Schizosaccharomyces pombe: one gene and its partner. The gene in region 2 interacts genetically with the main gene of each other region. Each region holds a gene or a part of one and is shown on either strand. Other genes may lie near its edges.

Evidence for each region. Genes that interact genetically often act in the same process or in processes that back each other up.
Region 1: mutations in SPOM_SPAC11D3.03C (region 2) and SPOM_SPAC12B10.01C together harm fitness more than expected from each alone (negative genetic interaction), as found in Schizosaccharomyces pombe (one large-scale study listed by BioGRID).

What each region holds. Positions count from the first base shown.
Region 1 is NC_003424.3:4,569,768-4,577,575, forward strand, and holds SPOM_SPAC12B10.01C (ubiquitin-protein ligase E3), read right to left. Parts: upstream 5,877-7,808; 5' UTR 5,675-5,876; coding exon 731-5,674; 3' UTR 538-730; downstream 1-537. Other genes in the region: zds family phosphatase type A regulator Zds1, read left to right, coding at 1-356; acetylase Sdg1, read right to left, coding at 6,461-7,168. UniProt on the Schizosaccharomyces pombe protein: E3 ubiquitin-protein ligase which accepts ubiquitin from an E2 ubiquitin-conjugating enzyme in the form of a thioester and then directly transfers the ubiquitin to targeted substrates.
Region 2 is NC_003424.3:110,379-113,990, reverse strand, and holds SPOM_SPAC11D3.03C (uncharacterized protein), read left to right. Parts: upstream 1-2,013; 5' UTR 2,014-2,077; coding exon 2,078-2,986; 3' UTR 2,987-3,087; downstream 3,088-3,612. Other genes in the region: SPOM_SPAC11D3.04C (polyketide cyclase SnoaL-like domain protein), read left to right, coding at 682-1,074.

The DNA.
Region 1 (7,808 bases), 4.5 Mb from region 2:
TTTGTACTGAACGTGCCATTTATCGTCTCTCTCATATAAAGTTGTCAAACGCGCATCGCCCATTGTTTCAACAAGTTCTCTTAAGTAACTTTATGTATTCATACTTAGATTTAATTTCTCGAATTAGCTCAAATCGCCCGATGAATAATGTACAACAGTCTACTGCTAAACCAATACGCAAAGACATTAATGGACAACAAAGGCGTTCAGAGTTTTCAGCAGAAAATGTAAAAAACGAGCTGGAGAATCTCAGTTATCAATTTGGAGATCAGCGTAAGCGAAATCTTAATAGGAAAGGATCGACTATTCATACCGTTTCTCAAAATATTCAAAAAGTTTCAAAGAATGCTAAATAATCATTTTACCCTACTGCTATTCGTTGGTCTAACATTTTTCCTCATTGGTTAATTATTAGCATTTGGCGACTTTTGTTATATGTTACAGGGTCTTCATTGTCTTTAAAAATTTGTATCTTGTTCACCAACACTTTCTGGAAGCAGGTGGTTATTTATTTTCATGAGTTAAATATAAAATTCTTACTCAATGCATAAGTTTCTAATGAATTTCATTCGCTATGCTACTTTACATTGTAAGGGGAGTACGAAGTTACCCATTCTATAATAAATTACCAATTCTTTTTCGCTTTATATTTGTACATAGCCTCTATTTTGAAGTAATCATAGAACGCTACTGAAGTGCTATACAATAACTTTTTTTTTCTAAACAATGCTTAGGATAAATGAAAACTGCCCTGTCCTTCTAAAATAGCCTTAGAAAGTCGACTTCCTAAAACCTCACTTGAAGAATACTCAGGTAGTTTCAAATAATTCACACAAGTCATCACGCTTGGAAGATAATCATCAGGTACATAAGGAGGTTCATTTAAGCGCCTAACAACAGTTAACGGGGGATTTAGGCCAGCAAATCCTCCAATAGGAAGTTTTCGGCTTCCAGTAATAAATTGCAAAAAGTCTCTTTGTTCTTGAAAATTCATTTGACTCATCAAAGTCAGTAATCTCTGGATTGTAGGACTTTCCATGGTGTAACCGTGATCTGCTACTATAGATTTCATCAAGGTCGCGTAACTCCAATCCTCATCGACAGTACCGAATAGTGTGACCAATTCATGTTCTGTCAAAACTTGCAAAGAAGTATAAGGAAAAACGCTGGAAAACCCATTTTGAAATGCTTCTAATTGTTGTTGAACACCCTTTCCAACAGTATAGTCAATGACATAATTTAAATAATCACTCACATTGAATGTTGTCACAGGTGTACTAGCTCCATCAGGTATGAGTTCAATAGACGGAAATCCCGGTAGAGTAAAATCGAGATGAAGGTCTTCAAGCTTAATGTCCGTCTCGGCGTTTGTAGGGTTTTTACCCGGTATTAATTTCTCTAAATATCGTAACGAGTTAGCTAAGCCCTTGTCAACTTTCGCTACAGAGGAAATGGTTAAAGGTATATTTCGTGCAAAGAAAAGTGGATTAAACTGAATGCTTATTATCCTTGAATCATAAATCGAGCGTGCAACGAACTGTCCAAGAGCAAAGAACAACGAAATTTTTCTTTCATTTTCTGGACTGGACCCTAATAATGGAATAGGAGAAGGAAAAAGTCCAGACGCTTGGTACACAAATTTAGAGTTGGGTTGATCATTCCGCCAAATATCGAGAGAATTTAAGGTAAATTCTTTAGATACTGAAGTATAGAACTCCAAAGTGGGCCCAAGACCTGAACCAACTTCATCTTCGTATTCTATTTCAAGAATATTTTCAGAAGCCGCATAAGTTGCAAGCAAATGCAAAGCGTAATTAAATATTTTTTTCCGAGAAATACGAATTTTCTGGCGATGTAAGCTGACAAATTGAAGTATGGAGGAACTTTCGTTTTTTGATAGCTCAGGATTTCGGGACAAAAGAAAAGAAACGGATCTTGATAAACCAAAAGCAGTAGATTGCAATAAAAGATATCGAGTTTCAAACGGTACTAGGAATGGATATGCAGAGGTTAGTGATATACACCAGGAGGGTAAACAACCGTGAACAACAAGTTGTTGCTCTTCAAGTTGTCTATTCAATTTGGCACTCAACTTCCAGTTGCTAAAATCTGTAAGAATGTTTTCAATGTTGCCACGGAAATGTTTGTCAGGAAAGAGGGTATGAACGTCTCTAATCCCATAATACAAAATACTCAATAAATCCAATATTTCTCTAATATTTATAGAAAATCCCTCTGTTTCATTCTCATAGTTTAACTCCCCTTTCATATCATTGTGAATGCAATCAGGCTCACCATAAAATATTGGGACAGGAGTTTTCCAAAAATCATCGAGAGTATGATCGTCAGACAACTGTATATACTCATATAAAATTCTGAATATTGTTTTGTTTCGGGGTACCTTTTTACCCATCAAACTGAATACAAAATGTTCCTCGAAATGTGATGATGTCGAGGAGTCACGTCGCTCTGATGGCTCTGTTGTGTGATTAGGAGCATCTTGAGACATTGAGTCAGTATAGTCTCCTGAAGAGTTACGAGATGATCCACTCATTGACTCCCTCAAAGAACCGGCCTCGCGGAGGATTGAAAAACGACGTCCAGTTTCATTACGCACAGAAATGCGACTGTGAAGATAATTATCAAGTGTACGAATAGTAGCTAGCCCATTAATAGAAACGACAAGAGATCGGAAAGGTGGTCGAATTCTTGATCCCGGAAGAGCCATTAAACGAAGTTTAAACTGCCGCGAAAAAACATGATCTACCGCATTCTCAGTATCTGGGGGTAACGTTGAAAGTTGAAAATTCTCAACAGTTGAAAGTAGATTTTGCAAACAAAAGATAAGTGAAACTAAGGGACCATTACCAAATTCTAAAACTTCGCGTTCATCACATGTATTCATAGCTAACAAAAATGTTCGAAGAGATGAACTTCCAAATTTTTTGAGTGATAAAAGCAAATTATGAATTAATCCAGAATGAAGTAATTCATGACTAGTAATATTAGATCCTTCTTGAAATATTTTGGCTAGTTCTGAAAAAGATTCGTCTTGTTTGGTCTCACTTAATAAATGTTTAGACAATTGTTTAAGTTGAACTAATGTTGAGTTTTCTAAATTTTCTTCCTTATAATTAGAGAGAAACTCCTTGGCAAGGCTCTTTAACGTCGATAAATTCTTCAACTCCTCATGACGAGCAGCAGATTTGTTTTGTGAAAAGGAAATACTTAACTTTATTTTCTTCATGTCTGCATTGGTAGAGCGAACTAAAAATCCAACCTCCTGTACAACGCCTTCTCGTATAAATAACGAAGAATAAACATTAGGAAGTGCTTCAAGCAAAAATAGACACATTTCTAAAGCATCTCGCTTCAAGAAATTGTCAGATTTGCGTGAATTTAAAATTGAAGCAATGAATGATGATAAAGGAAGAGAACAAACTAAGCCATCTAAATTATTTTCCCTAATTGAACATAACATTTTCAATGCCGTAGTCACAGCTAACGATCGGATATCATGAAGGGGCACAATAAAATAAATGTCCATTACAACAGTTAAGAGTATACTGTTTAATCGATATAGTTTCGTGTTAAATTCATCAGACAAGTTACTAGTGTTTTTAGGAAGCAAAGAAGTTATAGCTCTTAACAAGTTTTCTATTAACTCGATCGGACAATAATACAAACTTTGCATTGTAATCATATCAGCCTGATGGGATGTATCAGAAGGTGGTATTCCACACAGCATTTCGTACATCACATCCGGCAAATTATGGTTAAGAAAAGGTAAAATCAAAGCAGAAGATGACTGACACAAAGATGATATTATATGTAATAGCTGCACTTGTAAGTGCATTGACTTATTTTGTGAGGTAGAATTAGTCAAAGCATTGACAATAGTGGTGATCAAATCCTCGGAAATTATCGTTTCAATTATGTTTGGTGAAGTTTTCAAAGATTCAATAATTGTCTCCAGGCAAGAATATGCCTTACTAACGACTATGGTATCAGAAGATTGTAGAATATTAGAAAGCAATGGAATAATTTCTTCTGCTGCGGAAGCATTGGATTCATCCAAAAACTTACAGCAATTAGCAGCCAGAGAAATAGCTGTCCGTTGAACTGTAGTATAAAAAAAATCAAAGTATTGGAGAGCAGCTAACATTCCTCTGTGTTCCAAAATACAAATACCAAAATCTTTAGAAAGCCGTTCTAAAACTCCTAAAGCTTGTTCAGCAATATCAATGTATTGCATATCAAACATTCTTTCACACAGAATGCGAACAATAGGACTATATGCTATTTTAGCCATACATAAAGGCAAAGCTTCCATCATATTAGATACACAGGTAGTACAGGATAGCATAAGTTGAATAGAGACTTCTCCGAAATCATAATTTCGCCCAGATAAGATTTCGGAAAAAGCCGCAATGTATGAATCGGTTGAAAACAATCCAACAAGCATATCTTCAGTACTCATAGCAAACGCTTCGGAAAGTTCTTGAAGAGAAAGCATTTGAACAGTAGGATCACTAAAATCCTTTATTCCTTCTAACAAGCGTCCAAATTGAACACCTGGAGCAGAAAATGCAGAACGAAAAGGATGAAAGGAACTATTGAAACGGTATGTCTGTGGACCTAAAGAAACATCTTCGTCATCAGAGTTCTCCAAATTACCGGAAGAAAGTATAGAAGACGCTAAACTTTGAAACTGATTACCTCTTCTGATTCTTCCCAGTTCATTTAACAAGTTAGTTTCATCGTATTCTTCGATTCCACTCATGTTCATGTTTTCTTGTTCATTAATAACAGCGGCTGAAGGATTAGGTGAACCGTTTTCGCTTCTTAACTCGTCATTTTCATTTTCATCTTCATCGTCTCCCTCATCATTGTTTTCATCATCGTCTTCTTCCTCCTCTTCATCAACATCTTCATCTCTTTCATAACTTTCACTGCCACTACTGGATTCATCGTCTTTGTACTCGTTATTATTTATATCATCATCAGTTCCATCATTAGTATCATCATAGACGTGGTCATCTTGGTCATTATATTGGGACGAATCAGTAGAAGTATGATAGTTGCTGGAGTCAGAATACGTAGTTTCATAAGAGTTTGAATTCCCAAACTTGGTTAAGCCACTTTTGTCATTAAAAGTTATGTTCTTTGGTTCCATAACTGATTTATCAAATGGAATGATATCAACTTCCGCCTTTTTGTCTAATGCAGAATCAACCGAAGCATTGCTTAAAACGCGTTCATAAGAATTCAGTATATCCGATTGCTTATTAAGAGGCAACACACCTTTATCGGATTTCACTAACTGGGGTTTACCTTTGAGCTTTTCATTAAAGGATTTAAAGACCCTAGTTTTGCTCGTTGTAAGTGGTTGTTCAAGCAATTCGGAAAAATCATGCCGCATATTTAAATGCCTTCCAAATTCCACACTTTTACTAGAAGGTGGTTCAGAAATTTTGGCAGATACCTCCATTTTTAAAAAATGTTTAGTTGCTCTGCGTTTCTTTGTAAATGGCAATTCTTCAGAAGTGTTTAATCTATGTTTGTTGTCGGACTTACTTCGTAGGTTTGGTATAAACACAGGTGAGTTGGTTATAGATTCACTATGTATTAAATTCGGTAAATTCGGAGTATTCGTATACGCTTGAACAGACATGAAATAACAAAATGTCGCTCAGAAAGGCTAATTTAATAAACAAAATTTGGAAGCCTTTCGGCGAGCGATTGGAGTGATTGTTAATTACAATCCAACAAAACAATCAAGTAATTTCTGAACCAAGGAGACAAAATCCCAGTTTTAATTTGATCCTTCTATGATCTCTTGTTTAAGGCGGAATGTGCTGTTGACATAGGGAGATGGCAAAAGCGTCGACAACAAGGGCGCACCATTATGTTGCCGTAGTATGTGTTATAGTAATACGTTATTACTCTAAGTACTATTGTTTTTTTCTGTCTTTTACTGTCATTAAATATTTTTAAATTTGTTTTTTATTTGCAAGATGCTGTATTTTATTTATTGATTCAGCTTTGATTCACACTCGTTAAACGTACTTTTGTAGTCGATCGATTGTGTTTTTACAAGCATAATTGACGATAGTGAAATGAGATGCTCACTTAGTATTCACTAACATACATCAGTTATATAATATTAAGTTTACATTCAAATTGTTTTGTACAGTCTAGCGGGTACGAACTCTTGAACATGGAGCGGACGTAATGAAATAGTTTCTAAAACTTTTAACAATTATTCAACAACACGGTGGGTCTAGTTTTTGCCCTAGGTAGAAATTTACTTGAACGTCGTGAAATTCTTTCGTAACTATTTCACGAAAAAAATAAACACAAAACAAAAAGATTTAAAATATGAACATACAGCGAAAAACAAGTTGTAGCTGCGCAATTACATGCACGAAAGGGTAATATTTGCGGAAAGTTAAATAATCTATCTTCTATTTTCAAAACCAGGTTGTTCGCTCAAATTCTTTTGAAGCACTAAACGGCGCAATCCGAAAAACGATAGATAATCGAAAGCTTCATCAACTACAGGAGTAAAGTCTTTTCTTTCAAAAGCCTTCAACATTGGGTCGGTTGAATAAACTCGTGCTGAGACCACGTCAGCACCCATCTCCTTCGCCTCACGAAGTGCTGAATCTAGGAGATCAAACGCATACTGATAAAATTTAGGAATGACAGTCCAGTGGACAATAGTTGGTGTGTTTTGGTATGCACCAGGAGCATTTGCAGGCAAGATACCTATAATACCAATAACTCGTTCTTTGTCAATGCGGGCCATATAAAAATGTTTAAGATTCTCTTCAGCCAAGCAGCCGTCAGGTTGATTGTCTTCAGTGCTAATCTTTGCATACACATTTCTACAGGGAAATTCAATCAACGTCAAAAAGACAGCGCTAACCAATATTAATAAAACAAAAGTTCGTAATTTTGTATTTCCTTCTACCATGTTTGTTAAGCGATATATCCCCATAAACACCAAACCAAAAACCGCAAGATACAACGGGTGCCAAAAGATTTTTTGAGAGAGATTTCTCGATTGACCGTTCAACGCATTCATGGCAATCGATCGAATACTCGACAGCTCCGCAAGGGTGGGACGACGAATATCAATTCTTTTACGTTGCACATTCGACATTTTTATGTAATTAAATATTCTTTTTTGCTAATCTTTTTAAAATTTATTGTCACAATATTTCTTTTACAATTACCTTCTACTGTGAAATTTAAGAAGATGGAGGTTCGTAAGTGGAGTAGGTAAGAATGAAGCCATTATACCACCATAGATTTACCCAACCCTTGGTTGTTTCAGTCAATTTTTGCGAATTGTAATTTCATACAACTAGAATTTGATCAAATCTACCCTCTTATTAAATGATTGAGATTATTGATTCTATTGATAAATCACATTTAGGGTCAACTAGCTTTTAAAATGTTTTTAGGAATAGAAAAGAATATTGTGACGATCGAAGTAACATTTCTAGCTGAAATAACAATTGGATTTATAAGCTATATCTTCAGTTACTAAATAATTAGTTTCTACAATTTTTTTAGGCTTGAATATTAAATCTTTAAATAATTCCTAGGATAAAAAGAGTATAATGTATACATAGGAACAGAATATACATTTAAAAAAAATGGCAATTGAGTAGAGAAATAGGGAAGGTAATAATGCATCGATTAGATTGCATAACAAACTTTACATGAATCCGAAAACCAAGGATAGGAAATCCATTTACAGTATTTTTCACTATATAAATTAAAGCTTCATAGATTAC
Region 2 (3,612 bases):
AGAGATTTATATACTAGTCAAATTTAAACAGCTGAGATTGCTTTAGTCATCGCGTTGTTCCAGATCGTGAACGAAAACACCGATTCGCTCGCTAAAGTAGATACGAAATGTCCAGCAGATTTTGCTTAATTAAAACATAAATATTGATGAGCAAGAGCAGCTCGTTATAAATCAGACCTCCAAGGATTTTATCAACTACTCAACTGGTTATGTGAATAATGACTCAGTTAAATATTAAATGTACTCTAAACGGTTATCATACAATTTATTAGGAGGATTATACCAGCTAGTAGGAATTTAACCATTTCAAATTTAAACCTCTTTTTTTTCGTAACTTGGGGTCGTCATAATGAATAATTCTGTTTGTCGAATTTGAAGGGAAAAACACACTTGTTATCTAATTCCAAAAAAAAATAAAAAATTTTTAAAAATTAGTGGGGTTTTTTTTTCACCAATGTCTAATGATGTGTGATTTAAAAAAAAACGTGTGTAACGCATTGTAGTATTACTTACCTTTGCATGATTAAAAGTATATGTTGATATCGACTATTTAGAGGTAAGATTAAAAATAGCTAAACTTGATTTGTTATTTCAGTTTTGAGTTACATCAACCTAACTTACAGTACTGTGCGACACATTACCCTATGTTTCCCACTCTTAATCACCAAAAATTTTTTCCGAATGTCGCAAGACTCAGAATCGTTCATCCGGCAACTGTTTAAGGCATTTACGGATTTTAGTACTGACGTTGAGTCACTTAGAGGATTTTTAACGCCAGATTATCGACAGCTTGTCGATGGACGTGAATTGACACTTGACGATTTTATTTCTCATGCCAAAGCACTACGTACCCATCTTCATCGGCTCGACATCAACGTTCAACAAATTGTCTGTCAAGGTAACAAGGCTGCCACTGTGCATATTGCCCATGCGATACGTTCCTCTGGCGAGTCCAGCAGAATCAAAGTCATTGCATTTTACAGTTTTAAAGACGGGCGTATTTCTTTGATCGATGAGTTGACGTACGTTCTTGAAGGTGGTAATGCAGACAGAGAGCTTGGATCAGTACAATGACTTCAATTACCTTGACACTGCATTGCCCACGTTATTCAACGTCCATCAGGAACCGGACAAATTATTCAGAGTCCTTTTGAACTACTTCATAATTTTACAAATATTCAAGTGTAATTCGTAATATAATCAGTTTTATTCATCTTCGTTGTCTAAAACTTTTATGTGCTGCAATATTTGGGGAATCTCGATTTGACATAATGATCCCAGTGCCTCCAACATATGTTAATTGCGAAGTGTCCATTGTTAGTTCAAATAGCTGTGAATAATAAAATTTATATAATTTTGAAATTAAATTATTTTCCTGTTTTAAGGTGTTTATGGACTGCAATAATACAAGCTGACTTTAATAAAATATTCACCAATTTATTTAATAAATTTTTTTAATATCATATTTCAATGTTTGATGATACAAATCTTTTCTAATGTCATCGCTAACTTCGAAATTCTTTTTTTGTAATTATATAGTTTTATTATTATTATTATTTATTATTTCAAGTTTAAATAAGCAATCAACAAAAAAGTGCAATTATTCATGCTTGGTACACTTACTTTTTCAAATCAATAAATTTAAACTAACACATAGAATTTATGGCATTCTCTTGCGCTAAGCAGCAAGTTATTCATTTCACTGGAATGTGAAAAATCGCGATATCAGAATGTTGTGAGAGCATTAACAGCTAATTCTACTGCAACAGGCACAGCCGAGGATATGTTTACAGAGCATACAGCGTGATATTCTGCGAGAATATCATGAGTGATAACAAACACACAAATACATGTTATTCTATCTTATTTGAAGCGGGGCCCCACAGTAGATAGGTATATTCGCTTAAATCAATCGGAAAAGCAGTGTTTTTAACGCTTTAGTAGATAGGGGAAGGAAACCAACTGGCCGACAGACGTTATAAATTAACTATCCAACATGAAAGCCTTTCATTCACATGGGTAGCAATCGTCTTCTATTTTGAAATTCAATTCTAACGTATTTTATTTTAACTTTTAGATGACAGAAATTTCAGAATTAGCTTCTTCTTCTCAAAAACCCGAGAAAACAAAATATAATTTACCTAAACCTTTACCCGCGTACTATCCACATCCAGGTTCCCCCTTGTATGCAGATAAAGAACTTTATGCTCGTATAGCCAATGCTCCTAAAAAATTAGTAGGAAGACATGTATGCCAACCCAGAACTGGCCTTGCTGTGAAGATTCCCCAAAAATCAATATTTAGCATTGTCGTACCTGAAGGCCCTCAGGTATGTGATTTAAATATTTGGAACTTTCACAATCCTCGAGAAAGATTTTGGGCAGCTAGAACTCGCCAAATACATTCTGCACATGTTTCTACTTATGACAGATTATGGTCAACACTACCGTATTTACGACCCCTAGTTACAATAATTGGGGATTCGCTTCAGGCACGACACGATGAATGGGGTGGACGAGTTCATGACACACTCGGTACAAGATGTGATCCATACATCGATAAATTAATTTCTGGGAAGGATAACGATTTGCATTGTCATTCCAATTTAACGAGAGCTATAATGCCATATGGCTTGACAGAGTTTGACGTCCATGATGTATTGAATGTCTTTCAAGTCACCGGGCTTAACGAATATGATCAATACTTCATGGAAACGTGTCCCGCAACTTCAAAAGATTATTTCCAATGTTTCGCAGAACAAGATTTATTGGTTGCAATTAGTGCTTGTCCTGGTGGAGACTTATCAAATTGGGGCTGGGGAGAGGACGCTACTGATGTTGAAAGCAGCAAAATGGTGGATTGCTGTAGGCCTTTGGCTATAGAAGTCTATGAGTTAGAAGATGAAGAGAACTCATTGAAAGGTTGGGTTCCTCCACAAGTTGTTAACTATACCGGAAACCATGGTCTCAAAGCACCATCAAGTTGATCTTTGCAACGGACTAGATGTCTAAAAGATATCAGTCAATATATATATGAAAAATGCTAGTTTTAGAAAGTTTACAATCGTTTTAGATAATTTAATTCTTTAGAAACAAATATTTATTCAGTACTTTAATGTAATTGATTTAAAATAGATAGGTTCCTCTGTCAAGAACACTGTACACTATCAAGCCATCGGGAACGACATAAGTATATTTTTTTAAATTCCATGGAACAAATCTTTTCTAATGAATTAAACTGAAGATCATGTTTAAAGCTTCAAAAAGTATTTTGTAGCGAGTAAAATTAGCAAACCTTTGCATTCTGTAACTATTACTCATTCAAAAAAAATATTCTTATCCTTGATTAAAAGATTGTATTCGGGTCAAGGACAGATTAAGTGATTCATCGTATAAAATTTTTTATCTCCTGTCGCATCAGCTAACTTCCTGGTTTTCTCTGATACTTAAATATAAGGAAACATTTTTCATTTTCCGCGCACTTTATTCCAGGCGTTTTTTTTTTTTTTATTATTCCACTATCTTTAAAACTTCTAAACAGCATCCGGCAAATACCTACTTTCTAAAATTCACGGGTTTGGACACACTAATACGAAGCTATAAACCGATTAAG